4 linked regions of the Alligator mississippiensis genome follow. The protein of the gene in region 2 purifies or fractionates together with the protein of the main gene of each other region. This does not show direct contact. Links are inferred from orthologs where the notes say so. Each region holds a gene or a part of one and is shown on either strand. Other genes may lie near its edges. The genes, in order: U2SURP, U2AF2, SRPK1 and SRSF1.

Region 1 (7,901 bases), on a different chromosome or scaffold from region 2:
GAGGAAGGGGCATTGGGGGGGGGGGGGGGGGGGAGGGGGGATGCAGATCAATGCCCCTGTGGTGAGGAAGAATAGGGCTGGGCAATCCAGCCAGGGCAGGGCAAGCACAGGATGGAGCCACAGCTCATCCGGACGGCGCAGAGAGGAGTGGCTCCCACCGCTGTGCACACCCTGGGAGTGGACAGGAGGGGCATGTGCCCTCAGATCTGCACAGGCGGGGTGGGCTGCAGCTTCAGGCTGGGGCCAGGGCTGCATTTGGGGCAGGAAGCAGCAGCAGCGCTGGGAAGAGCATTATGCGGGGGCTGTATCCCTCCCAAAATTCACCACAGCACCCTCCCAGTGCCACCACCACCCACCCCAAGCACAACCCTGGTCCAACCCCCACCCCTCCTCAAAGGGAAGAACCCAGTGCAGTCCTGGCCCCAGCCTGCAGCTGCAGCCCAACCCACCCACACCCCATGCAGATCTGGGGGCACGCACTCCCCCCCACCCTCCTGGGGTGCACGCAATGACAGGAGCCACCCCCCCCCACTCAAGCCCCGGACGAGCCGCAGCTCCGTCCCACACCCACACTGCAGCACTTGCCCCAGCCCCACTCCCTCCCTCACTGCAGGGGCCACTGATCTGCACCCCTATGCCCCTTCCCTCCCCTCCCCTTGCACCACAACAGACTTAACAGCTGCACACAGCTCTCCATGCTGCCAGGCTGCGCTGTGGCTACATGCATGTATGGGCATTTATCAGCCAAATTATTGGCCTCATCAGGCCAATTTCCGATACACTCAATTTTCTTTATATCAGTGCTGATCCAATACGGGATCGATGTATTGGTGCACCTCTATAAATAATACATCCGTGGGTGGATCTCAGATTTTGAAGGGGGGGGGGGGGGGCAGGGAGAGTGCAAGTGATATGGTACATCATCCCATAAAACAGCATATATTTTTTTCCAATTTCCAAGTAAAAACAAATGCAACTGAATCACTGAGGGGCTGACTACCAGATCCAAATTGGGCAGGCATCTGGTGCTGGGTAGTAGGTATACCTGTTACACTCTGATCAAATGGAACTCCTCCCTGTACTCCTACACAAGTCCCCCAGACACTCCACCATGGCCCCAAAGTGTCCCACACTGCCCTTTATATGCTCCACCTGCCACCTCAAATTCCCCCTGCCTCTACTCTGTCCCCCATTATCCCACATATTTCCATATTCAGCCCCATCCTATCAAACCCCAAAACCATCAGATCCCACAATCCCCCCTCATGCCCCACAGAGGCCTATGCTACTCAATCCCCTCACTGCTCCTATGAATACAGTATACCCTACACCAGGGAGTGGGCAATTATTTCAGGCGGACGGCCGCTTACTGAGTATTGGCAAACCACCAAGGGCTGTATGACAGGCAGCCAGGGGCAGATAAATATTAATTTTCTAATTTTTTCAGGGGCCCCCTCGGTCCAGATAGAATGGCCAGGTGGGCCACATTTTCCCACCCCTGCCGTACACTGTGGATACTAAATGGGTCAAGGGACTAAAGATTGGCAGAAATCAAGTAGATAATAATAAGCTATGAAATCTATAGACTCTCTCACTCTACCTGAATAGAAATTCAGCTGTCCCTACCAGGCAGTTTGTTTTAAACTTTCAGTGGATCAGGAATCAAATGGGGATGTGACTGTACTCCTTCCCCCACCCAATCCACTCATGAATATATCCTTATTTACTTCCTTCATGCCACTCATTTTATTTTATGAACCTTTATCATATCCACTCAGTCATCTTTTGTCTACGCTGAAAAGTGCAAGCACATTTAATCTTTGCTTATTAAAAAAAACAAAACTTCTCTATGCTCTTGATCATCCTTATCTAATCTCATACATACAGCACAATTGAGGCTTGCCTTCAGCCAGGTATAAAAAGGAAACCAAATTAGGAATATTCATCTCAAGTAACTACTGGTTTAAAGCTCTCAGTCACAAAATTATCCCTAGGCAGGTATAAATATTTCCAAAATGGGAAATGGGGCTCCATATATGAATCAAGTTAAGAACCTGCATAAGTGTTTGCAGTGCTGAAGACATAATATTTACAATAAGATAGTGGTTCTTTCTACCACAAAAATATCAACTCCAAGCATTCCTAGAGCTGTAGCTGAAAAGGCTGCAGCATCAACCCTGCAGATGTAACAGAGCACCACAGGGGAACAGGATCTGTGCAGACACTGCTGTACAACTCGGGCTAACTGAAGGAGCCAGGGAAAAAAACGACCCCTGGAACCATAAGACTGGAAGATCTGGAAGATGGGGAGAGGTACTGCCCAGCCACCTCCATACAGAACTAGGTCTAATCCTTGCGGCTCCACAACAGTCTCTCTCTCTCATGGAAATAAAGAACATTTAAGTTAGGCTTCCCTGGGAAAAGAACCATCACAGAGAGCAGAGTGACAATGCAGCACAAAACCGAGGAGCAGTTTCCAGCCCAGTGCTGGCCAGAGCTGCAGACACATAATTGACGAGTTTGGGGGGGAAGAGATCTTTAAATGAAGCCCTACAAGGCTCTGCAGAGACCGAGCACTCAGCCAAGCCAAGGCATGGCGAGATCTGCGGCTAGAAGAGGAGGCTCCTCGTCTCCAAGAGCCCTTCCACAGGGCCCGGCCAACCCCGGGCAGCCCGTGCGCGCCGCGCGCTCCCAGCACGACGCGTGAGTGGCGGGGGGAGAAGCGACAAGCTCCCCCCCCTCCTCAGCCGGGGCCTGCCGAGGTTCAAACGCCCCACACGGGCATCGAAGGCCCCAGCCGCTGCAGCGGGAAGAGCCGCGGGCACCGGCCTCCAGTAGGCCCCGGCGCGCCCGGCAGCAGCAGGGCCGGGGAAGGGGGCCAGAGCAGGCCGCGCAGCCTGCGCACCCGCCTCCCCGCGCCATGCTTGCTCCGGCCGGCACTTGCCACTACCACGGCCCGGCCCGGCCCGGCCCACCCCCTGCCGCGGGCCCCGAGCGACGGTGCCGCGTGCGCGCCCCTGAGGGCGGCCTCACCTTCCCGCTGCCTTTCTGCGAACCGCCTGGCGCCCTGTCCGCCATCTTGGCTCTCTCCCTCGGCCAGCCCTGGCGGCCGGAATCGAGCGCCGACTTCACCGATTGAAGAGGAGAGCGAGGAAGCCTCCCGCCTGGGGGGAGGGGCGGCGAGCCGATGACCGAGCTAGCGATCGGGGAGGCGGGGCCGGCGCTGCGGCCCTGTCACGCCCGGCGGCCGCAGGCTCTGCGGTTCTGTAGGGCGCTGCTCCTTTCGCAGCCCCGCGGTAACGCATAGGCAAACTAGGCACATGCCTAGGGCCCTAAGAAGCGGCCCAGTTGTGATCATTTTACATATTATAATTATTGAGTGGGAAAAAAACATTTATACAGTATAAATATAATATAAATAAATAATATACATATACCGTATTAAGTAGGGTCCATGAGTTTGTTTGCCCAGGGACTGCAAAAGGGTTCATCTGGCACTGTGCATGAGGGAGTCCCCGTGTTTCCCCACCTCCCCCCCCAGCTGGCAGGGTCCAGGGCTCAAGAGATGTGGCCCAGCAGCGGGTACAGGAGACTTGCCCCCCAGGGCTGGGGTTAAGCACCTGCTTTCCCTGCACCATACATCTAGTTTACCACAGCAGGTGCGACTGTCACATCCAAGGAAAACACTTAAAAGGCAGCAGTGCTGCAGAAGCGGCCTGCCCAGCTCCCCTCCCAGCCCGGGGCCACGGGAGGAATGTGACGTGGGCACCTGGGGGGCCTTTGAGCTGCTCTGTGGGCATCTCTGCTCCCAAACCATGAGGGATCCCAAGCCAGGGATCCTGGGCAACATGCCCAGGTCTGCAATTTAAGGATTTTTTTTTTTTAAGCAGTCTGTCAGATCTCAACCATGGGGTTTTTTTGTAATGCTTCATCAACAGAGCTAGGCAGGTCAGGCTGTCGTAGCTGCCTTGTTCCCATTCTTAGCTCCAGCTTTGTTTTATAGTCCTGGCCTGTCTCATTTCAAAGCTTTTTAATTTCTTTATAAAACCTCCAGGCTGAATCTTAATTTAAGAGTGTTCTGCTCTGGAACAGTTCTTTTGCTATAGAATTACATGAGGGTTAAATCCAGAGAGGCCACAGCTCTGCTACCAGATCAGTATTCTGATGTTCCTCTATGGCAAAAACATGCCTCCTAGAAGGGAAAGTCAGCTGTGGTGCTGATTTGGCACCAGAGGCAAAAGGAATCCTATACTGATGGATTATTGATGGCAATTTTTTTCTTTGTCACCCAAACAAAGAATTATGAGACAGTATAGACAGTATAAGACTCTATAGACAGTAATATGAGACTGCTTCCCCACTGAGATCTCCACCTTGTGACACTTATGCCATATACTACATCAAGTAAGGACCAAATCTAAGCACCTTGCAAATAAAATAACTTTGTATAAATCACTGCAAGGAACTGAAACATCATTGTAGACCACAGAGTAATAATACAGTCCCAGCAGAACTATGATCTACAGTGGCAGCTCTCAGGATGCTCCCTGGACACATTAGATACTGACCAGTGGATCTGAATAGTTGCTGAATCTATTGGTTGGCCTTTCAGCACAGGCTACATCATACATTAGAATCACTGTGGGTCCCCAGATATGAGGCTTTATATATTTATATACTTATATATTGGAGGAGTAATGCTATAATTTTGGTACTAGCATACAAGACTAGAGGATCAGGCCCCAGGAGTATAGGCTTCTGGTGCTGGTAGTGGTGTTACAAACTAAAGAAAGGCAGTAAGTTATACTGTAGGACTTTTACCAACTGATAGATTCCTTCCTGATTTAGTTTCCAGTGCTGGGAGCTGGTTTCCATGTGGGTCCCCAAACTAGCTTGACATAATTGCTTTGAGACGGGGTACTGTTTCCTGAAACTGGCACTTAGCAGCTCTTTCTGCCTATAATACGTATAGCACTGTGAGGTGAGATCCCCAGTGAGTCAGAATGCTGTCAGAATGGATGTAGGACACTGAGCTGAGGCTGGAACATGACATGAGAATTCTGGAAGTACTTTTTTGAAAGCCAGATGCAACAAGAGATTTAGGAGAGAAATCTATAGGAAAGTGTGGAAAGAAAATCAGGTAGGTGGTGCCATGAGTGGGTAAAAAAGACCATATGGGTTCAAAAAGTAGGAGGAAAAATGGAAGCAAATTGAGATGATTGTAAAGGATAGAATAAACAGAAAGGAGAGGACTGAGCAAAAGGGAAATGAGAGAGTCCCAGAATAAACAAAGAAGGTGAGGGAGAGACATTGCATGAATGCCTTTATTACCTCTAGTTTAAATAACTGCTCTGGGGATCTTTCTGGGGTTGACTAAAAAGGCTGCTAAAAATCTTCACCTTATGAAGAACATAGCCCAACATCTGAAGGAGGTGTGCTAGTGACAACATATCAGATTACTACTCCACATTGCACTGGAGGCTAATTACCCTTTGGGTATAGAAAGCCCCCACAGGTGCCCACGTCGCATTCCTCCCATGGCCCCAGGCTGCGAGGGGAGCTGGGCAGACCACTTCTGCAGCACTGCTACCTTTTAAGTGTTTTCCTTGGATGGGGCAGGGAAAGCAGGCATAACCCAGCAAGGGCGAGTCTCCTGTACCCCCTGCTTGGCCACATACCCTTTGGGTATAAGCTATAAGCCTGGAAGATCTGGAAGATGGGGAGAGGTACTGCCCAGCCACCTCCATACAGAATTAGGTCTAATCCTTGCGGCTCCACAACAGTCTCTCTCTCTCTCATGGAAATAAAGAACATTTAAGTTAGGCTTCCCTGGGAAAAGAACCATCACAGACAGCAGAGTGACAATGCAGCACAAAACCGAGGAGCAGTTTCCAGCCCAGTGCTGGTGAGAGCTGCAGCCACATAATCGACAAGTTTGGGGGGGAAAAAAAGAGATCTTTAAATGAGGCCCTACAAGGCTCTGCAGAAACCGAGCACTCAGCCAAGCCAAGACATGGCGAGATCTGCGGCTAGAAGAGGAAGCTCCTCATCTCCAGGAGCCCTTCCACGGGGCCTGGCTGACCCCAGGCAGCCCGTACACATCCCGCACCCCCAACATGATGTGTGTGTGGCAGGGGGAGAAGCAACAAGCTCCCCCCCTCCTCAGCCGGGGCCTGCCGAGGTTCAAACGCCCCATACAGGCATCGAAGGCCCCAGCCGCTGCAGCAGGAGGAGCCACGGGTTTAGACGGTTACTAACTGCTCTTCATGATATAAACCCCAGCTCAGTAAAAAACTGAATCACATTTTTAAGTCCTATTTAAGTCAATAGAGATGGTTACACTTACATCATCATCATCATTAGGTGTTTTCTTGATATACTGTGTTCTAATATGTAAGGATAAAATTAAATGTGAGCCAAAAGTAGTGCCCCTTCCTGAAGGCAGAGGTGGGAAGCCTGTAATGTATTGCCAGGACCGTTATGCCAAAGGATTTATTGTTAATTATGGTATGGCCTGTGATGGGTGTTAACATTGTATTATGGATGAGGGCAGTCAGACAAAGTTCAAGGATGACAAGATTTTGAGAAGACTGACGTCAACAGTATAGAGGGTAGGCAACCTTTGGAAGCTACTGCCATAGGTTCTCTACCACTACATTTTGGAGACTGTTACTTGCATCATCCCCATGTGACCTTGTAACCAGAAAAAAGCTGCTATGTTTCTGACCTGAAAGAACCTTTCAGATTGACTTTCAAATGTATTCTCTGCTCCATTCTCCTCCTTTCTCAGTCCCTCTCCAACCCCAAATTAATACACATGCATTACTTTTGCCCTTTCCCTCCATTTATATGGATTAAATGAAGATTTTCCTCTACCTCCAGTAAAAGTCAACTGTTAACAAATGGCATTTCCATAGATAATTATTATTAAAATATCAAATTGTGTAAAATTATTAACAGGTATATTTTCTATGATTGGAAAATAAGACGACAGCAAAATTGCAGATAGTAAATTAAAAGCCTTGTAACAGGGAGCCCCCTTTGTACACTACCCTTCTGGGCATTGATATAACAGAAGCCCCTTCTTGCCTGCACCCTCTTTCCCTTTTTGTGCATTTCTTTTTCCTTCTAAGTATTGGCAGAGACCTAGCACATTCATTGCATGGGTGTGGCAAGGCTCCGAGCAAGCCAGAAAGCTGAAGTGGCTTTCTGTAGGAGAAACCTACAGACTACATCTATGTATCAGTTGAGCTGTGTCACTAAAGAAAACAAAAGAACTAAAATATCCACTTCAAAGCAAAGCCTGTAAGAGACAAGAAAAGCCAAGGTGCACTGAAAGCATGACTGTAAATATATCCTGGTAAACACATTTTTCCTTTGATTAAGACCTATTTCCCAAAGCAAACTTCCCATATCTGTCTAAAGTTTTATGCTAAATCAGTCTGCATGAGTGCATCTAACCCCAGTGGCCGTTGATCCTCGCTACCTCATCTTGCATTTTTCTATATTTCTCACAGTACATTTTTATATTTCATGTCTCATCTTTGCCCTGGCATTTTGTATTTTATATTTTCTACCTTTTAACTTTTAACAAATGTATTCTTTAGAGTAAGTCATACCTTGTATTACTAAAATTATTATTATAAGAATGCACTGGAATTGTAATAACTGGAATTGTATTGCTGTATTGGGCTGGTCCCCTGAGTGAATGCGGGTATGGATGAATCAGTAGGTAATTGAACGTCAAAGCAAGAGCCCCTGTCTGTTTCATAGATTTCATAGACATTAGGGCTGGAAGGGACCTCGGAAGATCATCGAGTCCAGTCCCCTGCCCAAAGGGCAAGAAGTCAGCTGGGGTCATAGGATCCCAGCAAGATAAGCATCCAGTTTCATCTTGAAGG
Region 2 (7,720 bases):
GATTCAGTTTTGACATCTGGGTCCCTGGCCCTGTCTACCCAGAGAGACTCCATGGGCCAATGGGACAAGGTAGGCACCAAAACAGCAATACTCAATTCATCACCAAGCAAAGCGACTTTTAACCAGACCAGTCTGGCTGATCCAGGTTTTGACTCAGCTTGGCACAACTTTGGAAGATGCACTCTGCTCTATGATAACAATCTGAGCTGTCCCTTTGAACTGGGGTCCAAGATCCATTTCCATTTCCCTTTCCCCCACTAATTCATTCCTCCAGATGAATTAAGGAAGAGCTGGTTCTCAGAATCCCCCACCAACACTAAAAAGGATGGCACGGAGGTACTGCCCCATGCCCAGTAACACACAGAGACAGTGCCAACATCTCCCAGACTGTTTCAGTGGTGCTGCAGTGAGGAGCCCAACACCTATATTCCTGGGGGCTAGGGAGAGACTGGCTAAATCACATCCTCCTACCTTTGCAGAGAGGTAAAGTGGCTTATCCTCTCCCTGCCCACTGACAGCAGGTCCTAGGGCAAACCAGCAGCAAAGGCACAATCACCTGACTCTCCAGAGGGCAAAAGAACCCCGTTTTACAGGGAAGGAAATTGAAGCACAGAGGTGGAAGGACTTGCTTTATAAGCAGCACAAGCAAGACTAGCCCCTATGGGTCCCCCACCCTCCTACCCCACCCACACACACACTTCCACATCTTTTGTCATACTCCTTTCACATAGCAAGGGATAGGACCCAGGAATCCTAGCCCCTAGCCTCTGCTTTAACCATAAGGCCTTGCTCAGAGACACAGCTCTTCCAAGGCAGCCCCAGCATGCAGCAACCCCTCAGGGTGGAGCGAGTTATGCCCAAATGAGCCATAGGTGAGGTCTGCAGGCTAGTGTAGGAGGGAGACCTGTCCAGGGCAGGGAGGGGTCTCCCAGGAAGGGACCATACAGCCCCCACCCACATGTACCTGCGTCGCCGACGGTCCCGTGAGACGCTGCGTTGGTCTCTGTTGCGCCTGTCTCTGCTGCGGCTGCGGCGCTTGCGGTCACGGCTCCGGGAGCGGCTATGACTGCGCTTACGGTGGCGGTTCTCTTTGTCACGTTCTGTGGGGAAAGAGGTAGGGTTAGCACAGGGGTTTCGGAACAGGGAGTGGAGTTAGGGACCACACAGCAACACACAATCACTGCCCTCAAGCCAACCTACATATATAGCACAACCTGTGAGGGGCCATGTCTCCTAGTGTACTATGGTCCACACCACTGGTAAGGTCTCCAGCTCCCAGTATGTAGAACTCCACATGAAGGAGCAGTGCAGGCTAGGAACTGGTCCTCCATGTGTTACAGCTGCTAATCTTAGTTTAGGACAGCAGGCTAGGAGGGATGGGGTGAAATCAAGACCCCTCCAACTGTGCCAGGGCACAACTGGGAAAGCCTTCTCCTCCCTTCACCTGAAGGCAAAACCTTCATCTCGCCTCCCACCCTGGCAGCCCCTCCCTCAGCTGCTATCCTCTGTTGCTGCTCACACCCCTACTCTACTCCTCTGGTGTAACCATGTAAAGTCCTTCCTGTGCTGAGGCAGCCAGGCAACAGCCATCTGCACCACCAAGAGCAACACTGCATATGCTCGGGAGGCAGCATGATGTGTGCATGAACACTGTCCTGGGGCATGGGAAGTCTAAACTTCACAACTCAGAACCAGGGACAGGACCCAGGAGTCCTGGCTCCCTCTCATGCTTGCACTTCTACCCAGGCAGACAGAGGGAGACCCAGTGTGGCAGCTGTGCCCCCCAGCCTGTGCTGCTACACAAGGGCTGTCCTGCCACTGCTTCTTGAGAACTGGTCTGAGAGATCTGGGGAAAGATGCCCAACACAACCCATCCCAGCAGGACCCGTGGCTTGGATACAAGCAGCTGGCTGCCTGGGGCTTCCAACACAACACTACCTCCTCTAGCACAGAAAGTAGCCCAGCTCTGGATCAATACAGTCCTCGGTGGTAGAAGGAAGCCCCTACAAGCAGCCCTGCCTCAGCACAGATCTGCACATAGCTCAGCGGGTCAGGATGCGCCACAGGTAGTGCCTGGGTACAAAGGTTGCCCCTGCCGCCCACCCTGCAATGGCTAGGCCACATGGGGGGTGGGGGGTACAAGGCAGCCTCAGCAGATCCCTTCCAGTCACTTTTATCTAGGATTTTAAGAGCCCACCCAGGGATCTAGTACTGGGGAGGGGAGGGGAGGAGACGGACATGACTCCGCTCCCCCGCAGAGCTGGGAGGGAGCCCGGGTCACCTGCTGCCTTCCCAGCCTCACCTGGCAAGGGGTGAGCATTTATCTTTACTGCCTTGTCCTCCCCAGGGGAAAACTTGAGGGCCGCGGCCTAGCGAGCCAGGCAGCTTCGCACCCCGCGTGGCGGCACGGCAGGGGTCGGGCCGCACGCCGCTCCCCGGCGCTGACAGCGCGGGGCCGCGAGGCGCCGAGCCCGCCGTCCGGCCGCTGCCGCGTGGGGCCGCCCCAGGGCCCGCAGGCGCAACGGGGCCGGAGCGCGGGCTCCACGCGGCCAGGCCCGGTGCCCGGGACCGCGCAGCACGGGTGGGAAACAAAGCCGCCCCGCGCCCCAGCGGCTGCCGCGGCCCGGCCACGTGCGCCCCGCTCCGGCCCGGCCTCGGGGGGCGGCCCCGCGCAGCGGGGGAGGGGGATCCTGCGTAACGAGGCCTCGGGCTGGGAGCGCGAGGGAGTGGGGCAGCCCGCGGCCAGGGGGAGCAGGGTTCCGGCCCGGCCCTGCGCGGCGGCCGCACCTTGCTTGTTCTCGTTGAGCTGCCGCTCGAACTCGTCGAAGTCGGACATGGCGGCCCGGCCCGGCCCCAAGTGTGCTCCGCTACGCTCGGCCCCGGCGCGGTGTGCTCCGACTCGGCCCGCTCCGCTCGCTTGGCCCAGCTCGTCCTGCAGGCCGCGGCGGCGCCTTCCCCTCTGGCTCGGCAACCTCCGCCGCGCGCTCGGCTGCCCCCGGCTCCGCTCGGGCGCCCTCGGGCAACGCTCGGCGATTTCCGGCCCCGCTTCGGCTCCTCCCGGAAACCCGCTCGGCTCCCAGCCGGCCCGGCGCAGCCTCGGCACTTTCCGGAACCTCCCCGGCAGCGCTCGGCCCCTTCCGCCCCCGCTCGCGCCTCGCGCGAGGAGAATGAAAGCAACGCGGAGCAGGGGCGGTGGCTGGCTCAAGAGAAACCACTTCCGGGTCGGGGGGCGGGACAGCCTACCGCCCCGCGGTGACGTACTACGCTATAGGCCGTTGCTGGGGCCTGGAGCCGCTCCAGCCCCGGTCCTCGTGTTCGCCAGCCGCTAGTCCGCGCCGGCACCCTGCACCCATAGCCCTCCGAAGGGCGCCCGCCCAGGCCTGGCCCAGCGCGGCAGGGAAACAGCACCCGCCCTGTAGGCTGTCGTGTGCCGGGGCCTATCCGCCCCGCCGGCTCCCGGACCGCCACGGCCGCTCATGTAAATCAGTCCCTGCCTGGCACGGGGGGGAACCCGCTCTTGGCCGCGGGACGCGTGGCTCAGCTGTGATCTGTCCTGCGCGGAAAGCAGCAGGGCTTGTTACTGCCACAGGGCAGGCTCCCCGCTGCGGGGAGGTGGCAGCACCAGTGAAGTGCGGGGCCTTCCCCACAGTACTGCTCTTCTCTGCTGAAAAATGTGCTAAAAATCACCAAGCCCAAATCTCAGCCAGCAGAACAAGGAAGCGTGGCAGGGGGGTTGGCCACAGCACCTCCAGAATCAACAAGCCACCCTACTTTCTTCATATCACCCAATCCATTTTAAAAATCAGATTTTTTAATGTGCTTTTCTTGGTGCATATCTGCCTGGATGTGCCAGAGGACCCAGCTCCGTAGCTGTTCTCCCCAAACCACAAGACCTGGAAACAGCAGCTCCCTTCCAATAATGACACACAATTTTGTCTCAAGGGCCCTTTATCAGTCACCTCAAGAAGGTTTCCTGATCCCCAGGGTGACACACTTATCCTGCCTCATGCCCCCCCTTCCATTTGTCTGTGTCCTGTGCAAGAGCCCTCATGGATTGCATTGCAGGTATTGAATGGTGTTCTGCAAATACAACATGGGGCCAAAATACTCAGAGGACAGCTGATTAACATACAGGAGTCTACTGGCACAGAAAAGAGGGATGGCCATGGATAACTGAAGGCAACGTCAGGAGAAGATTGCTAACAAACGGATGCAGCTTCACAACAGGAGGGAAACAAAGCTAGCTTTTGGGTAGGGTCTGATGGGTTTATGCCCAGGTTTGCAGGATGCAGTTGTCAGTGATAGGAAGATCTGGGCCTAAAACCTGCCAGGCCTAAAACCAAGTTGCTATCTCCTTTTTTCCCCCATCCCTGGAGGGCTGTAGTTGCATGAGCAACAGCCATCCCCAAGGCCAGACATGCGATGGTGGGGCAGGGGAAGAACATGTCAGCAATGGGGTAGGGGGCAAGTCTGTCCTGTTTCCCAAACAGCAATGCCAGACATTGATGGGGTAACCATGTGACCTAAGGGCCCTCTGAACCCTTGCAGGTTAGCAAGATCCACACATCCATAGCAACTGAAGCAGGTGAGGAGGATGCTGTGGGGTGTAGTCAACTGTCTTAGGGATGAGAGAGGTTTTGCTGAGGTGAGAGGGGTAAAGGCTTCAGGTTCATGGAGGCCCTGGCCTGAGTATTCAACATCCCATGCTCTGAGCCCAGTGTCTTGTGCCTGGCTGAGCCTTTCCTAGATGGGTGCAAAGTCAGCAAGGTTTGAAGAATCCACCTCTTCCCCATGATTGGTTCCCAGGGTGATTCACTGCTTCTTTCCCTCAGTGGGTTTCCCTGGTGACTCATCAACATCATTGCCTCTCTTTCCTCAGGATTTGTCTAGCTCCAACTCCCACAGCTTTTTCTGCTGGCTGCTGAATGGTCTGCTCTGCTAGGATAATACTTGCCCTTGACAGGCAATAATTCTTCCTGCTGGCACTGGAGAGGGAGCATGGGGCCTTAGGCATAGAAGGTGGTTGTGGGTTGGGGCTTGGCCAGGAAGCACTGCCCCCTGCCTCCACTCTTAGCCCATGGCAAGTGGGAGGTAATACACAGTGGCTTTGCCTGCAATGAAAGGTATTGCATTATCCCACTTAAGCTTTCGTTTTTCATGGGGTAGCAAATCCCCACTTTTCTTTTACTGAAGGGGACATCAGTCATGTTTTTATATGAGTTTGTCCAGCACCAAGTGCATACCCATCATCCAAGAAACATGCAGATCCCCATACAGTGGCTGATGGCTCCTGGATATGCTGTATATACACATGGAACCCACTTGCAACACAAGGTAGAGAGGCTGGGTGTAATTCAGGATTAAGCATGTCTTGATTCGAATGTCCTTCTAATGCCAGTAGTGCATCCTCTGTCAGAAACAGCAGCACATGGGTAGCTGTAGTGTAAGGGAGCGTGTGTTCATGTTGGGATATGTACATTACAGGGGCAGGGAGGACTGCGCCCATGTAAGCACGCGATGGTTGTAGCATGAGGGAATGGCTCTGTGCATGCACATACATGCCCACCCAAAACAAAGGTGTGCTACACACAGCACGAGGGGTCCACCTCTGACTACACCTGCGTGCTGATAAAGCATGATGCACAAAGCCTTAAGCAAGAGTGGGATGGGGCTGCAAGGTGGGCTTTCATGTGGACTGTTGGGTGGATAATCTGCAGAGAATGAGGGTGAGAGCCATGCCTGGCTCTGCAATGACAGCTGTGTGCGCATTACTGCTTAGCTTACTGAGCCTCGACTCCCAGCCACACTGATCCCACTCCCCTCCCAAAACTGAGACACAACACAGGAGCCCTGGCTCCCCCAGTGTGTCAAGTCTAACAGTTAAGATGGGACAGGGAAGACTTGCAGCCATTGACTTTCTCAAGACAGAAAAAAAATTAAGGGAGGAAGTAGAAATACATAGGCAATCCAAAGAGAGGGTAGGAAGGGATGACAGTGGGAGCTACCAGAAAAGGGTGCATCTCAGTGCTGGTTGAGAGGTCTTTGTATAGCCATTCCCTAACACACCTCACCCCAGAAGCAGGTCCATCTCAGGGTCAAGCAAAGGGCTCCCATACAAATTGGCTCACACACCCCATCCCAGACGCAGCTGTGGCTTTTGTTTTGGGAATGAATTGGGACTTCAGCCTTGCTTATTCCAAATTTTTTTAATTTAAATTCTATTAATAAATTGATTATTTTTGTAGTGTTTTTTTCCTTTCTTTTTTTTAAACATAGAGAGAGGGCATGAAATAACAGGCACAGTGGAAAAGAGTCTGTTACACCAAGTAAAAAGGGGTGGTCTGCCAAGCGGCTTCACACACCTCCTTGCACACGCACACATGTGCACACGCACACACTTGGCAGCTCTACGCTGCTGTTGGGGGAAGGGGGGGGGGTCATGCCCAGTCAAGGAGAAGAGGGAGTTAAATACAATGCCCCTGGAGTGGGGCCAGGCAGGGTGTAGGGAGAGATCCTGGGTTGGGGGGTGCGGACAGGTCAGCAAACACAAGAACCACTGCTCCCTGCAGGGGTTGGTGCTCTCCACCTAGCAGACAACCAAGGCTGTTGGTGCTGCTGGAAAAACAGGCAGTAGAAGGGCAGGAAACTCAAGAGGCCTCACTGGGAAAAGGGCTGTGGCTACTGTGGTCAGGGTCAGAAGGCTCCTGGCCTGACATCTCCAAAGGAAACTGACCAGCTGGAGCAATGTGGCTAGAGGGGACAGGCCCTGCCCTACCCCCATCCCTTAAGCAGCCTTTGTCCATCCATCTCCCCCAGGCTGGATAAGGGCCAACTCTCCCTGGAAGAGAAGGCTCCTAACCCCATTCCCCACCCTCTGAGCCAGGTAGTGCCCTCATGGAAGCCGTCACCTAAAGAACAGATTCCCTATAGCCTCAACCATCTCCTCCCCAACCACAGTCCCCTCCCCAACACTTCTGCCTGGACACACCCCAGCTCAAAAAGTGAGCACACAAGCTGACCCTGCCTAAACTGGACGCTCCTACCTGGAGCAGCAGGTGAACCACTAAGGTTGAGGGTGGTGGGATCATGCATAAAAGCTACAGGGGTCCCCATGCTTTTGCCAGTCACATGCTCTGCCGAAGGCTCCTTCATCGCTGGGGGCAGTAGAGAGTCCTGTGTGGTCAAAGAGAAGCAACAGTGGCCCAAGGCCATAGCAAGGAGGGGTGGGTGGGTAAGGAGAACCAAGAGTCCTTCCATTCACCAACCTGCTCTTACCCACTGGACCCCACTCCTTTTCATGAGCCAGAATAGAACCCAGAAGTCCTGGCTCCCTCAATGTGCTCCACCCAGCAGAGAAGGGACAGGGGCAGGACGTGAACTGGAGTCCCTACACTGTGCGTCCTGGGACAGAAATTCAGGGAAGAAGTAAAGGTAAAGACATGCCATGAGGATGATGGGAGGGGCAGGGCGGGGAGGGTTATAGTGGCATTTCCTTTCAGCACCTGAAGTGGGTGGCAAATGGCAGCCAGGTGGGGGCAGGGCAGTGGGAGTTCAGAGGGAGTGGTTGCAGCTGGTAGAGAAAGCAGTGGGGTAGAAAGGTCCTACTGCATGGCAGTAGGAGGTGTCAGGGACCATCATGCTAGAGTGCCAGGGGCAGCAATGGGGCACATGGCACTGGAGAGGCTTGGGGTGCCAGGGGGCCAGCCCCATCATGGCTTGG
Region 3 (7,513 bases), on a different chromosome or scaffold from region 2:
ACCAAAGTTGTGGAGGGACTTGAGCCAACAGTTCCTGTTGCAACGAGGAAGTGTCAGCTTCAAAATCATCCTCCAGTTGTTCTTGTAACAGAGCCAAAAACTCGGCCTCCCTTGGTTCCAGCACTTCTAGGTATATGCCGTCTGGGGAACAGTAGATGACACAGCCCAATTTACACAACAAATCCTTTTCCAAAAGATTTACAGGGGTAGAGGGGCTAAGCAAAAAGGCATGTGTCTCAGAAATGGGACCGATAGAGACAGAAAGGGGGTTGGAAACAGGGTGGGGTATAGGGTGTCCGCTAATGCCAACAGCATTAACAATTTTTTTCAGAAAGAAGTATGTTAGAGAAATCAGAGGCTTTTAAAGTGTAGAGGGAAGCTCCTGTGTCTACCAGGCAAGATATAATCCTGCCGTTTACAGAACAATTAAGAAAAGGACTAGATTGGTCAAGTGAAATAAGTGGGGCAATGATGTCATCCTTCAGGCTGTCCTATGCTTGGGTAGGGAAAGGAGGAGAATAACCTGAAGGGGGAGCTGACAGGCTTGGTTTGTTTTCTGATTCAGATGGGGCCGGATTTTCAGCTAAGGCTGGATTGATACAAAAGTCTAATACGTCTTCCAGAGGTTCAGTTAGTGGGGGTACCCCTTTCAGTATTGGGTATAATGGACTGCAGTTTGAATTTAGGGGAGCGGCCAATTTCTCCTGTGTTTCCTTCAATTGTTGTTTAAAATTTTTTCCTGTGAGTCTTTCAGGCTCTTGGTCTGAGACTCAGTGCGTCTTTTTGACATCTCTTCATACCAATCGAAAAATACGTTCCACTGGCATTGAGGAGTTTTGGATTCACGGGACTCTAACGTCCCTTTTAAGTGCACTATTTTTTCTAGATTGAATGTGCCTTCCTCAGGGAACTGCTTGGAAGGATCATCCCTGGTATACCAGTACTATTTATCCAGGTACTTGCAAGTCTCGGGAGAATAATGTGTGTACATATAGTACGCCGGAGTTCCCTTAGAGGGGACTGGCACTTGCTTTGACTGTCCTGTACCCATTTCACAATCACACAGGGAAAGACAAGACAAGGGAATGGCTTATTAAGGAAGTCCGTGCCGATCCGAACTTCAGCCTGCAATGCTGCCGAGGTGAGTTCTGGATTTGGCAACGGCTCATAAACAGACCGTTTATCTACACAGTAGAATAAGGGTGGGGGAACAACAAAAGGAGTCTGCTAAAGTCACAGAAACCTGCTTGTAGGCCCATCTGTTGACTGAGGCTACATACCTTTTCGTAGCCCCGTCTGATGACTGAGGCTACATACCTTCAGGCAGCTGATCTATAGCGGCTCATGAATGGAGGGGGGGAACACAAGACACAGAGCAAAACAAGAGGGTGAGGGACCAGTGAAAAGTTCACTGGGGAGGAAGAAAGGGTTGATTTTGTCTCTCAACCTTGGCTCCCAGTGACTATTCTTTCACCACGCACCCTTGCATTCGAGTTGCGCCGGTCATCGTCCAAACCGGGCTCACGTACGTCTCGGGGCGGCTGCACGTGGTTTCAGAATTTGCCCTGGACCAATTCCAAATCACCATTCAATCAGGGTCACAATCTTATTTCCATTACCCACTCAGACTTCCTAAAGCCCAGTGTTGTGCTGGATGCAAGTGCTTGTGCAACAGATTCTCCCTACCACTTATGCGCGCTTTCCAGAGACAGACAGAATTTTACCGGATTAGTGTGACCGGTCTTGGTTCTACACTGACCTGTAACAAAGGTTCAAATCCAGCTACCCAACATGAGCAGGGAGCCTATGAGCAGTCCTCCTCCGACACCCCAACAGAGATTTAAAAGGCCTCTTACCTTTATTGGTGGTGCTGGGGTTCGATGGGGAATGGCTCACGGTCCTCCGAACACATCGTTGGCTGTGGATCCGAGTCACGGCACCATTTAATTGTCGTGGAAAAAACACGCTGTAGAATTTGGAATCAGGTCAGGTGGAAACTTTATTTCGATAACTATCGGAAAGAGACCGTTAAAGGGAAGATTCCCCCTGGCTCTCTGCCTTACAGCAAGGGCAATTAACCTTTTATAGATTCAAGACAAAGGGTTTCCTAAACTAGCTTTTCCCACCTTAGGGCTATCTGTTTTGTGTCCTTCAAGACAGCTTTAGTGGTCATCTTCCTCTTATCTAAGGAATTTCTCTCTCTCCCCCCATGAGGCCTCAGCCATTCTTTGCTTCCACATGGGTATCCACACACCCTCCTCACCAGGCTAGCCCAGGTGGGGGGGGGGAGTGCCAGTTTAGTCGCTGACAACCATACCAGGGAACAGGCTGTACTGGTTTACATGGTACCAGATAGCCAACCAAGAGAGACCTGGCCTAACAGGGAACAAGCAACAGGTTACAAAAATCTTATAACCATATTCCACCCATACCACAGCATAGCCAAAGATGCTCATACAGGATCTCAGAGGAGTATATAACAACCATTACTAAATCCAGAAAATGTATTCAGCACTAAAAACTGAAATTCCTAAATAGCTCAGTGGCTGATTAATACCTAGAGCCAAAGTGGACCTTTGCCCATTACAACCATCAACATGGCTTGACCATTCAGCCCCCTGGGACTCTAATAGCTGTACCAGTAGGTGCCTTGATCTGTTCAAGGAACAAAGTGATAAATCACCTCAAACTATAATTTATTCACAAAACTGAGGAAATGATTTCTATTTCTTTAGGAGGTAAAACACTGGGTACTCTTGACTAGACCATAGGCTAAATCATAAATTATAACAATTGACATGAAATTCAATTGCATAATTTGCAATCCAGAAATTTTAAAATTCTATCACTCTATGCTGCAGTCAGTAGGTAAGTTTGTGATTCAAGTCAGCATTTACTAGTTTTAATCTAGCTGGCTTGGATAACAAATTTATCAGTGAAAGTGTGAGAAAACAGGCTTCAGGATGGGCCAACCTGGCCAGGAACCAGGGGTCACTACTTGGGAGACTAGCCTCTTCTGAGAGTTTTGCTACCATGTCTTCACTGCTATTGCTACTCAGACTAGCTACATTATCAATTGTGGTGCAGAGACACTTGCTCTATTGACCTGTGAGCATGCTTTTGCTTTAAATTAAGGTGATACTGTCAGAACAAAAATCATAATTCCCTTTGCGGTGATGACAATGTGGAGCTTGTATGCTCCCTGGTGCCAGGGAACAGGCGCAATCTGCAGCTTGCATGCTCTGGGCAGGGACATGCAGGCAGTGGCTGTGCCCCAGCTCCTTGCAGCAGGGACAGCGTGGTCCGGAGACAGTGGCACACTCCTGCCTGGCGCATGCAGATTGCCCCAGCTCCAAACCACTGTCACCACAAGGTCCCAACCCAGCTGTGGAGCAGCTCCACACCCTGCTGCGTGCCCTGCCAGCAGGGGCCACACTAGGGAGGGACTTGGGGGCTATAGCCACGCCAAACTTCCCCGTAGCCCCCTTTGGGTTGGGGGTTTGTTTGTTTCTGTGAGGCCTGGCAACACTGTTCTCAACCTGTTTGCCTTCATAGGCCACACTTGCAGCTCTCAACATGTTCTTAGATTCAGACGGGAGAGTTGTATGGGCTGCACCCACACAACTCGCTTCCTGTACCTCCAATTAAAAAATGCTTTAACAGGATGTTACATGGGCTGCAGCAGCACATGCGCAGAGAACCACTGCCCCAAGCTGGTGCCCTGCCCTGCCCTCTGCCCTCGCTGAGCACCTCTCTGGCTCCTGAGGCCAAGGCCCCTCTAGACTCATCCCAAAGGGACCCCCAGGAGCCAGGTGTGGGGAGCAGAGGCAGCCAGGCAGGATCCAGCTGAGGCTGGCTCAGTGTTGCCAACTCTGATGATTTTTGGCATTCTTAAAAGAGTGAAAAACGTAGCTCTTTCCTATATATGTGTGTATGTATTTATGTGTGCATATGTACATATGTGTGTATGTATATATATATAATATACATATGCATTTATAGATATGTGTGTATATATGTATGTGAATGTGTATATATATATATATATATATATAAAAAGAAAGCTAAATTTAAGCCTAGCTACAGACACCGCCCGTTCCCGCGCTGCAGCCCGCGCCCGCGTCCACCCCCGCGAACACGTGGGCCCCTCCCTCCCTGACGTCACAAGGGCGCCCGGCTCCCGCGCGCGTTGCGTGGCGCCTGCGCAGTCCCCGCCCCCAGCGCGGCTTCCCCGGCTCCGACCGCGCATGCGCCGCGCCCCATGGAGCCCAGGGAGGCGGGAGCCGTTCCGCGGTCGCCCCGCCCTCCCCCCGCGAGGGGGCGTGGCCGCACGCGCTCGGCCGAGCCCGAGGGCGGGGCGTCCCTCAGCAGCCCCAGGTCGAGCAGCGGCAGCGCCGAGCCCGAGCCCGCGTGGTGGCGCGCGCAGCGCCGCGCCAAGGTGCCCCGAGCGCGCATGCTCCGTCCGGCGCGGCCCGGCCCCGCGCAGGCGCAGGGGGAGGGCGCAGAGCGCCGGCGCGAGGGGCCGTGGCTACCGGCTCTAGCCGCCATGGAGCGGAAAGGTGAGCGCCGCCCCCCCCTCCCCACAGCCCCCGCGGCCCGGCTCCCCTCCCCCCGCCCTCACCCCCACTCCCGTCTGTCTCTCCCCGCAGTGCTGGCGCTGCAGGCCCGGAAGAAGCGGACCAAGGCCAAGAAGGACAAGGCCCAGAGGAAGTGAGTGTCCCCGGCCGCACGTGCCTCCGCGCCCCCCGGGGGGTGAGGGGGGCCCGCGGGTTGCCACCTCCTGCCAGCGCCGGGGTGGGGGGCTTTGCTTGGGGCCCGCTGTGCCTGCCATCCCCGCGCTGCGCCCGCCTGTCGTGGGCCCGCCTGGCCGCCGCGTCCCCGTGGGTGCGGTGTGGCCCAGCTCCCTGTCGCGGCCTCTCCCCCGGCTCGGGGTTTGCCAGCGGTAAGGTGAGAAGATGGATCCTAGCTTGCGCTCAGCCGCTCTTTCTGCACTAAATTTTTCTGCTCTGCTCCTCTCCGCCCCCGTTATCTCTTTTATTAAGTTCAAAGGGTGTCCGAAATAAAATCTAGCCAGCTTTACGGTGGATGGTCCCACCTATGGAGAGCAGCGCTTGTCCAACCCGTTAGTCTGCGGTTCAAAAAGAATAAAAAATGAATAACTGATTCGTCTGATTTGCTGCAGAATAACGTTCGCTCTCCGTTAATAGGTCAGAGCCGCTGGCGAGGGTCTGGTGGTTTTGGCTATAGACTTAATACATTTCGTAGACATGAGGGGCTGGAAGGGACCTCGAGAGAGTGTCGGGTCCAGCCCCCCTGCAGGGGCAGGAAGTCTGCAGGGATCAAATTTGCCAGTCTTGAGGGGAGTTCGCAAAGTGGACGGCACAAAACGGCTGGAGGGCCGTGGAGGTGTAATGCATCTGGAAGAATGTACTGCTTTCTAAAGCTCTTTGTGGACATACCGCAAAGGTTTTGTTATAAGGTAGTATTCCTCTGTCTTTATTTCTGAATGAAGAGTCAGATCGGGGCGCATAGCTGGGATTTCTGTGTATTTGCCTGGCTTTTCGGTCAACTGCATGGGGAATAATCTCAACTCCAGTATTTATGAATGTAGTCCAGGACTTCTGTTTGTAAAGACTACAGTCCATGCGAGTCATAAAGCTTTTATACAGTGACTTAAAGCTGGTGGCTCTGTAAAAATCCCTTCTAACGAACTAGCTAGAGGAGGGCATTGGCGGTCAACATTGTTTAGCTGTTTGCTATTTTCAGGTGTGTCACTGACTGCTGTATGACTTCTGGCAAGTCCCTTCATCTCCAGGCTACTGATGCTCAATCTGGTCCTGATGTTCACCTGCCTCACAGGCATGTTTAAAAACGTTTTAAAGTTACATATTTCTTTAACTCTGTTTCTAGCGTTTCTGAAAAATTGGTGAAAGATTTTGTGTTCATTCTCGTTCCACCTTTGGCTGCCAAGAGAGTGTGGTCAGTTTTGCTTTCTGCTGCTTAGACAGTAGCATTGTACAATGTGTTATTTAAATATAAACTTGTTCTAGTTATTCTTCTAAACTTAAGTTTATTGGAACTTTGAAATAATTTTTTGATACAACCAGAATTGTCTGAAGTGCCCTTTCAAACGTCTTGTTGTGATCCTTGATCCTTTGATAAAAGGCTGTATATAAGTGCAAAGTAATTAATTTTGAGTAATTGGGGAAATTTTGTCAGTATTGAAACAAGATTCGTTATGATAAATGTATAACTACAGAACATGTTTCAGATGGCTGTTCAGTACCCAACTCAGTGCAGTTAGTTTAAAAAAGAATGAGTTAATGTTTTATTTTCAGATCTACAGCAGCTTTTTAGTCCTGCACTTGATCTTGCGATGCAGTAGGTGTTTATTACTATTTAAAATTGTTTTTTCTTGTTGCCCTGTGAACGGCTTTCAAAAACAAGTTGAAACTCACTGTATAGGGAGACCCAATGAAACTGATGGTGGATAAAGAGGATGAAAAATAAGACAACTTTCATCTTTCAGTTATAGTAATCTTAAGTGCTGCTTATGGGAATAGGGTGTATTTTAAGAAAACTTTAAGCATTGTGACTCAAGTTGCCAAGCCAATAAGCCAACTTAGTTAAAACTAAATATTAATTGTAAAAGCAAGGGCATTGATATTGTCTTTACGGACAGATTTAAATAGCTTTCTTCTGTGTCCCGCCCCCCCCCCCCGCCCCCCCCCATGTCCGACAAATTCCTGTTTGTGACATAAGCAGTGGGGGGGGGCAGGGAGAGTGCTTATCTGAAGGTAATCTGCTGTTGAAAGAGGAATGGCAAGGACTCTGCTGTATGGAGGTGAAGCACCTGTACCTGCCTTCATTCCCTAATATCTGGAAAAGTGGTCTTTCTCTTTGTGGGTAGATGGAGAAGATTCATAGATTACATATAGAGTCGAAAGGGACCTTGGAGGATCATAGTGTCCAACCCCCTGCCCCAGGCAGGAAAAGGACCGAGGTCAGAAGACAACATGCTAGTCAGTTAAGTGCTGAGCTGTGGTCAGCTTGGAAAATTGCATTATTGGAGGCTACCAGAAGGCAGGGGCACTGTATTAAAAACTCTAAACACTTAAATGAGTACATTTTAAAGCAGATGAGCAAACCAAATGTTCTCTTGGTATTTCCTTAATTGTGAGAGCAAATAAAAAAAATACTGCTCTTTAAATGTTAAAAGAACAGTAAGCACCTGGCATGCAGACTGCTGCAGTGCATGTTGTTGCCAGAAGATAATGCAATACAGTATTTTTCTTTTTTTTTTTTTCTTTTTTACTCTAGGTGGATAGCATGGAGGATTCCTCCAACAAGTATATCCCAAATGATGATAAATGAGTTTAAAAATTTCAAGAGTGGTATTATTAATCTTAAGCGATTTGGCTTTGTGGAGAATCTTATTTTTAGAACGTGATCTTAACAAGAATCTTACAATTCAGAAATTCATAATGGCTCTGCAGATGTTTCTAATAAGGGC
Region 4 (7,141 bases), on a different chromosome or scaffold from region 2:
ATGGTGATGTTCAGATAAAATTTTAGAAATGTTAATTATTTGGAGGAAATACTGTAATATTTACATATGTTAACTGGTAGCGCCAACATAAGTCATTGCTTGCATGGTGAATTACAGGTTTTGTGGTTGTAAAAAAAAATGTTTATGAAATTGGAAAAGTTGACTGCTAAAGCTATCCACCTACTGTATGTCTAAACTAAAGCTAGTACTCCCATCTGGAGGGTAACAAAATTAACTGCTTTCAAAACATATCAGTGAGTCAATTGTGCATTAGTCTGAAGGGGAAGGGTTGAGATTTAAGGAATTCTTCCCAACTAGTTTCATTTTTGCTTTCATTCTGATACTTAAAAAAAAAAATGAAGTAGCAACGCTATATCAGTCACACAGAGGACATGCAGATTTTAGCAGTATTGATATTATACTCTGATTTGAAGATACCCTGAATCTACAAAGTGTACAAACACTACGCAACGTTAACACTTGTAACCAAATGCTGCATGACAAAGTGAACCGCTACGCCCACCCCCGGAAGTTCTTTTAAAAAAAGTAAAATGGAATAAAGTTACAAAAGCAAGTAGTTTTTGCCACAATTGCTAACAGGGTTTTAAGGAACAGAGCAATTGTAGTCTACAATAACTAAAACATGCCTGAAAAAGTTACAAGTAGATGTAAGTACTCAATTAACCATTGTCATTCAGTATAAGGTCAATACTGCCAATTTCATCTGTGACAATAGCACTTGGAGTCATACCATTGCCTCCATTATTGATCTGATCCTCCTCAATCCTCCTTTTGACAATCCTAAAATGATTGACATGTGCTCCACAATCCTTTAATCCAAAGCATTCTTAATCCATCTCTTCAGATATGTCTACAGAAAGACACATGAAAAGGCAAGGTAAAATATAAGATCCCCCAGAAGAGACAAGTTAGCCACAAACATCCCAACATCCCCAGCTCGTATAAACCATAGCTGAACACTGAGACATTTACACAGCAATACCACAGTCTGAAGAGTGTGGGTATTTACTAGAACTAAATTTAAACAATCCTGACTATGACATCAATTAAAATACAATTTACCAAAGACATGAGGGGGGAATGTTGATGTTAAGGAGCAAATACTCACTAGGGATTTTACACAAGAATGCAATTCAACACTTTAGCCAATTTGAATAAAACAGTCTGAATTAAAAAAAAAAAATGAAAAGACTGTACTGAGTAAAGAAAATTGTGTACAACATGGGTTCTACAAAAAGATCATAGCTAATGGTCATTTATGTACGAGAACGAGATCTGCTGTGACGGGGAGAGTAGCGTGGAGATCCTCTGCTTCTTCTTGGGGAATAACTGCGGCTTCTGCTGTTGCTTCGACTACGGCTCCTGCTACGACTACGGCTGCGTGACCGAGATCTTCCATAGCTTGGGCTTCTTGGGCCATCAACTTTAACACGGATGTAGGCAGTTTCTCCCTATTAAATAGACACAACTTTCGATTGAAGGGTCTAAGCTTTTCAGCTGTCTTTTCAGGCATGCTGAGTACATTAAGTAAGACACAGTCTTTTAAATAAAAGCTGCTCTGTTTCTCTTGTGCTAACGAGGACTGCCTTACAATAAACCACATCAGACTCCATTTTTTCTATGGGCGCCAGCTGACACAGTTGAGCCTTCACTTCCTTACCTTCAGCTCCCATTGTTAAGCCCTGTGTATCCAATTCTGGCCCCAAAATAAGCAGGGAACCTACCTCATGAGATCTAAACTTAGTGTTATCCAGTTTTCGCACCGCGTAGGTCATATCTTCTTTCCGCACAAACTCCACGACACCAGTGCCATCTCGGAAAACATCAGCATAACATACATCACCTGCTTCACGCATGTGATCCTTCAAATCCTGCCAACTCCCACTTGGAGGCAGTCCTGAACAAAAACAGGTCGCAAATTACCCGGGACGTCCACGGGGTTGTTTATGACCCAGCCGCGCCGTTACGTGCGGCCGGGCACAGCAGGTGCCTAGGTGATTTGAATAAATTACCCCCCGGGGGAGGCTTTCGAGTGCTATAAATAATAAGCGAGGGCTGCGTAACGAAGCTCCTCGGGGGAACGCAATCCCGCGTGGCTCAACAGCGTCCCCGGGGGGAAAGCCGCCCCTCGCCCCGCCCTCGTACGGCCGCCGGGGAACGGGCGGGATCTTACCCGAGACGATGACTCTGTACTCGGAGCGCCGGGACGGGGGCCCGTACCTGCCCCGCGGGGCTCCGCCTCCTCCGCCGCCACCACCGCCTCTGCCGGTGCCTCGGCCGCTCCGCGGGAACTCCACGCGCAGGCGATACCCGTCGTAATCGTACCCGTCCCGTCCGTACACCGCGTCCTCCGCGTCCCTGCGAAGCGGGGCGGGGTGAGCGGGGCCTGCCCAGCCGCGCCCCCGCCCTTTGTTCCCCCCCCACACTGCTTTCCCGCCGGCCACGCCCCAATTGGGGGGGGGGGCAAATGGCAACATCCCCATGCTTGGGGGGGGGGCAACAAAGTGAGAACTCCCCCCATGCCTGGGGGGGGGGCAATAAAACAGGAACAACCTCATGGTTGGGGGGGGTCCAGGCAGAAACAGCCCCCATGCAGGGGGGAGGGGCACAATTTAGTAAGGGGGTCCGAAGCACCACGTGGGGGGGGGGTTGTGAGGGGGTCCCAGGCACCATGTAGGGGGGGTCCCAGGCCACGTGCAGGGGGGGGCGGTATAGCGGGGGGGGGCGGTCCCGGCCCTCACCGCGGGTCCTCGAACTCGACGAAGGCGAAGGGCGGGCCGCCGCGGCGGTTCTTGAGGTCGATGTCGCGGATGGCGCCATACTTGTAAAAGACGTCCTCGATGTCCTTGGTGCGGATGTCGGGCGGCAGGTTGCCCACGTAAATGCGGCAGTCGTTGTTACCGGCGGGGCCGCGGATCACGCCGCCTCCGGACATGGCAAGGTCAGCAATGGCTGCGGCGGGCGCGGGCCGGAGCGCAGAGAGAGAGAGAAAAGGTAGCGAGCGGGCGAGCGCCGGGCACGGAGCGGACGAGAGGAGCGAGCGCGCGACGGCTGCAAACACGGCTGCAAAATGGCGCCCGCCGCTCCCTCGCGGTGTTGCTGCGCGCAAGGATCCCGCCGCCGGTCGAAGCACTCCTTCACCCCGTTCGGACTGCGTCGCGGTGTCGCTCCGCTCGCACCGCGCATGCGCCGCCTGCAGGGAAAGTAGTCCCTGCCTTCAATTGCTTCGCCTAGACAAATGCTACCGTGGAGCTCGGCGGAGCGCCGCGCGCCGCGGATTGTGCGGCCTAGAGCCGGCCTTTGGGGCGTGAAAAGCACTCCTTTGCCCCTTCGCGAGGCGGAAGCCGTCACATCCGGTGAGGAGGCCCGGTGAAGAAGATCCGGCTCAGCTCCGAGGGGAGGGGGGCCCATAATGCAACGCGCGGGCAAAGGGCGGGGGAGCTTGGCGCCAAGGAGGGGCGTGGCCCACAATGCACCGCGCGGGGGCCTGGCTGCTTTATGTGCCCTAAGGGAGCCTGGGGGAGGGGCAGGGATAAGCAACAGCCTCCACGTTCCCCCCTCAGTCTGAGCAAGGGGTGCATTTCCCTCCTGACCCCACATCCAGCAGCGGCTCTGGGCATGAGAGAAGTCTGCCCAAGCCAGCAATCCTGTTGCATTGCCATGAGGCTGAAGTTGGTTGCTTATTCCCAGTTCCTAAGGCAGGGGGTCAAATAATGGGAGTCAAATAATAGATATATGCAAGCATGTTGGTGCTCTGGAAACCTCCCAGATTAAATTTGTGCAGGGGAAGGGGATCCCTGCCGATTTCCAGCACCGCGTCCGTGCCTTGTGCACCCTGCTCGTTGCCTTGGGGTGCTGGTTTCCTTGCTCTCCTAAACCCATCTCGACCGCCGCACCGTGCCTTTCGTGCCCTGCTCACTGGCGACACATGGGGGGCACGCGGGGGCACGCGCACCCCCGGAGATCGGCGGTGCACCCCCTGCAAAAAGCGCTGCTGATGCTGCTGGTGGTTGCCGCTTGCCACCCCCTTCACCGCTGAGTTTCTTTTGCAGAGGAAGGTAAATTTCCCTCTGAAATAAGAGGGGTAATGAGCAGAATGATCTGTCTCTAGGTGACTGGTTACTGCAGAAACCAAAGTGTACATTTCATAGCGCTGCTTATACAGGTGCTCCTCAATTAACGTCTTCCCAGTTAATGTAGTTTCGTTATTACATCGCTGCTCTGTTAGAGAACGTACTCGTTTGAAGTGGTGCAATGTTCGGTTATAATGTTATTCAGCTGCCACCTGCTAGTAGGTAGCTACTGTGACGTAACTGGATTCACTTAACATGGTTTCATGTAAAGTCGCATTTGTCAAGAACGTAACTACGACGTTAAGCAAGGAGTAGCTGTACTCCTATTCCTGGTTTGAGCAGTGTCTGTTCAGCTTCTTTCCCAGCGTAAGCGTTCACTACATTTTGGTTAGATCAAAATGGGGGAAATGGTATATCTAAGGGAAGTATCTTTCCAAGCTGCCTGTCTTTATCTACATGCCAATACAGTCACTCCATCTTAAACTATCAGCCTGACAGGGAACTGACACCTAAGTCAATGAAAAGCAAACTATACAATTTATGTGATGCGCTCATCCGTTCCTAACTAGACACAGGTTTGCTTGATTGTTTAGGAGAGCCGAGGGACCTTTATTTTTACGTCCCTTATTTCTGCAAGAGCTTTTCAAGGCACCTGATTTGGTCCCAGCAATTTATTTTTTTTAAATGCCTATTTAATTGCAGTCGCCAATATATTGACAAGGTCTGTTTCTCTTAAGGGACATCTTCCATTCTGCATTCATTATGTGCCATGTGTGCTGTTATACGCATCTTTTACCATGTCAGGTTGGTGCATAATGTGAAAGCTCCATAAGGAATTGTGGGGAAGGGAGAAAAGATTGGGAAGGAAATGGGAAGAAGCAAAAAATATATATCGTACAGCTTGTGGATATTTGGATGATGGTTTTTGCATACATTTTAGTATATTTTTCTGGTGTGTCATTCCCTCCCTGGTTTTTAACGGTGGACCTGAATACAAATGCTTCTGAACGTAAAAGGGGAATTTAGAAAAGAGCCTGGATCATGCATTAAGAACCCAAGACTAATTTTCAGAAGTAAGTTTAGCAGTTAGGCACAGGTCATCAAGGGTAATTAGGCACCCGACTGACCAACATGTGGGTCTTAGTTCCTGAAGTCAGTAGAACTTGAGTTCCTGAGGGCATATCTACCCATCCTCTGTGTTGGGCCTGGGTAATCAGCTACGAAGCATGCCCTTTCCATTAGGCACGCACCAAATCCCATCCTACAACAGTGCCTGAGTAAGCATCCCTGAGACAGGGAGCCTGAGGAGGTGCTGGGCATGCTCTTAGCTTGGCTTCAAGGCAGCTACATGGCTGCACTTTGGGGTCTGGGGTGCCTAGAGTGGGCAAAGTTAGTGTAGACATGACTTGTGTGCCAGAGGGACTTGGGTTTGGTTTGCACACAGCTTTCCTATCCATCTAAGTATTTGACTTAGGATACCTTTTTGATTTTTAATCAGTATAGTCACGTGTTCAAATCAGCAGGTCCAGATGCTGTCCACCCCAGGGTGTTGAGGGAGCTAGCAAGGGTTATTGCAGGGCCCTTGGCACGGCTTTACGAGTACTCGTGGTGCTCAGACCAGGTGCCAGATGATTGGAAGATAGCCAATGTGGTCCCCATCTTTAAAAAAGGGAGGAGGGAGGACCCAGGCAACTATAGGCCCATCAGTCTTACCTCAATCCTGGGGAAACTCTTTGAGAAGATCATCAAGGAGCACATCTGTGATGGGCCGGCATTGGGGATGATGCTCAAGGGCAACCAGCACGGTTTCATTAGGGGCAGGTCATGTCAGACCAACCTGATTGCCTTTTACGATCAGGTCACAAAAGCACTGGATGCAGGTGTCACCGTGGATGTAGTCTTTCTGGACTTCAGCAAGGCCTTTGACACTGTCGACCACCCCATCCTCATTAAAAAACTAGGCAACTGTGGCATTGATGCCTACACAGTCAGATGGATTGCAAATTGGCTGAAGGGTCATACTCAGAGGGTGGTGGTGGATGGGTCATATTCAACCTGGGGGGAAGTAGGCAGTGTGGTCCCCCAGGGCTCGGTCCTTGGGCCTGCACTGTTCAATGTCTTTATCAGTGATTTGGATGACGGGGTGAAAAGCAACCTGTTTAAATTTGTTGATGATACGAAAATTTGGGGTGAGGTGGGCACGCTAGTAGGGAGGGAAAGACTGCAGCAAGACCTGGATAGGTTGCAGGGTTGAGCTAACAAAAACAGGATGCGTTTCAATACGGACAAGTGCAGGGTGCTGCACTTGGGCAGTAGTAACCAGCAGCACACTTATGAGATGGGAAACTCCCTTCTTGAGAGCACGGAGGCAGAAAGGGATCTTGGAGTCATTATTGACTCCAAGATGAACATGGGCCGACAATGCAAGGTCACGGTTGGCAGGGCTAACCGGACCTTATCGTGCATCTCAGGTAGGGCCCAGGAAGTGATCCTCCCCCTCTACGCGACACTGGTCAGGCCACAGCTTGAGTACTGTGTCCAGTTCTGGGCACCCCACTTCAAGAGGGATGTGGACAACATTGAGAGGGTCCAGAGGAGGGCCACCCGCATGATCCGGGGACAGCAGGGCAGACCCTACAATGAGAGGCTACGGGACCTGAACCTGTTCAGCCTTCACAAGAGAAGGCTGGGGGGGGACCTGGTGACCGTCTATAAACTCACTAGGGGGGACCAGAAGGGTTTGGGGGAGACCTTGTTTCCCCTAGTGCCCCCCAGGAGAACAAGGAATAATGGCCACAAGTTGTTGGAGAGTAGGTATAGATTAGACATCCGTAAGAACTACTTCACAGGGCGGCTAGGATCTGGAACCAACTTCCAAGGGAGGTGGTCCTGGCTCCTACCCTGGGGGTCTTTAAGAAGAGGCTTGATGCCTACCTGGCTGGGGTCATTTGAGCCCAGTTTTCCTCCTGCCCAGGCAGGGGGTCAGACTTGAAGATCTACAAGGTCCCTTCTGACCCTACTTCTATGATTCTATGATTCATAGAATC

What was found.
Region 1: the proteins of U2AF2 (region 2) and U2SURP purify together in Homo sapiens (affinity purification with mass spectrometry; 3 studies listed by BioGRID and IntAct, counting the BioPlex papers as one, with this or other methods). This does not show direct contact. The link is inferred for Alligator mississippiensis from reciprocal best matches to the Homo sapiens genes U2AF2 and U2SURP.
Region 3: the proteins of U2AF2 (region 2) and SRPK1 purify together in Homo sapiens (affinity purification with mass spectrometry; 3 studies listed by BioGRID and IntAct, counting the BioPlex papers as one, with this or other methods). This does not show direct contact. The link is inferred for Alligator mississippiensis from reciprocal best matches to the Homo sapiens genes U2AF2 and SRPK1.
Region 4: the proteins of U2AF2 (region 2) and SRSF1 purify together in Homo sapiens (affinity purification with mass spectrometry; 4 studies listed by BioGRID and IntAct, counting the BioPlex papers as one, with this or other methods). This does not show direct contact. The link is inferred for Alligator mississippiensis from reciprocal best matches to the Homo sapiens genes U2AF2 and SRSF1.

The regions. Positions count from the first base shown.
Region 1 is NC_081830.1:56,731,576-56,739,476, reverse strand, and holds the start of U2SURP (U2 snRNP-associated SURP motif-containing protein), read right to left. Parts: upstream 3,131-7,901; 5' UTR 3,079-3,130; coding exon 3,034-3,078; intron 1-3,033.
Region 2 is NC_081828.1:75,066,071-75,073,790, reverse strand, and holds the start of U2AF2 (splicing factor U2AF 65 kDa subunit), read right to left. Parts: upstream 3,105-7,720; 5' UTR 2,837-3,104; coding exon 2,788-2,836; intron 1,101-2,787; coding exon 965-1,100; intron 1-964. Other genes in the region: CCDC106 (coiled-coil domain-containing protein 106), read right to left, coding at 6,925-7,173. UniProt on the Homo sapiens protein: Plays a role in pre-mRNA splicing and 3'-end processing. By recruiting PRPF19 and the PRP19C/Prp19 complex/NTC/Nineteen complex to the RNA polymerase II C-terminal domain (CTD), and thereby pre-mRNA, may couple transcription to splicing.
Region 3 is NC_081837.1:36,208,678-36,216,190, forward strand, and holds the start of SRPK1 (SRSF protein kinase 1), read left to right. Parts: upstream 1-4,450; 5' UTR 4,451-4,453; coding exon 4,454-4,559; intron 4,560-4,649; coding exon 4,650-4,710; intron 4,711-5,766; coding exon 5,767-5,859; intron 5,860-7,513. UniProt on the Homo sapiens protein: Serine/arginine-rich protein-specific kinase which specifically phosphorylates its substrates at serine residues located in regions rich in arginine/serine dipeptides, known as RS domains and is involved in the phosphorylation of SR splicing factors and the regulation of splicing.
Region 4 is NC_081837.1:6,054,271-6,061,411, reverse strand, and holds the start of SRSF1 (serine/arginine-rich splicing factor 1), read right to left. Parts: upstream 3,080-7,141; 5' UTR 2,957-3,079; coding exon 2,763-2,956; intron 2,380-2,762; coding exon 2,195-2,379; intron 1,919-2,194; coding exon 1,746-1,918; intron 1,473-1,745; coding exon 1,278-1,472; 3' UTR 1-1,277. UniProt on the Homo sapiens protein: Plays a role in preventing exon skipping, ensuring the accuracy of splicing and regulating alternative splicing.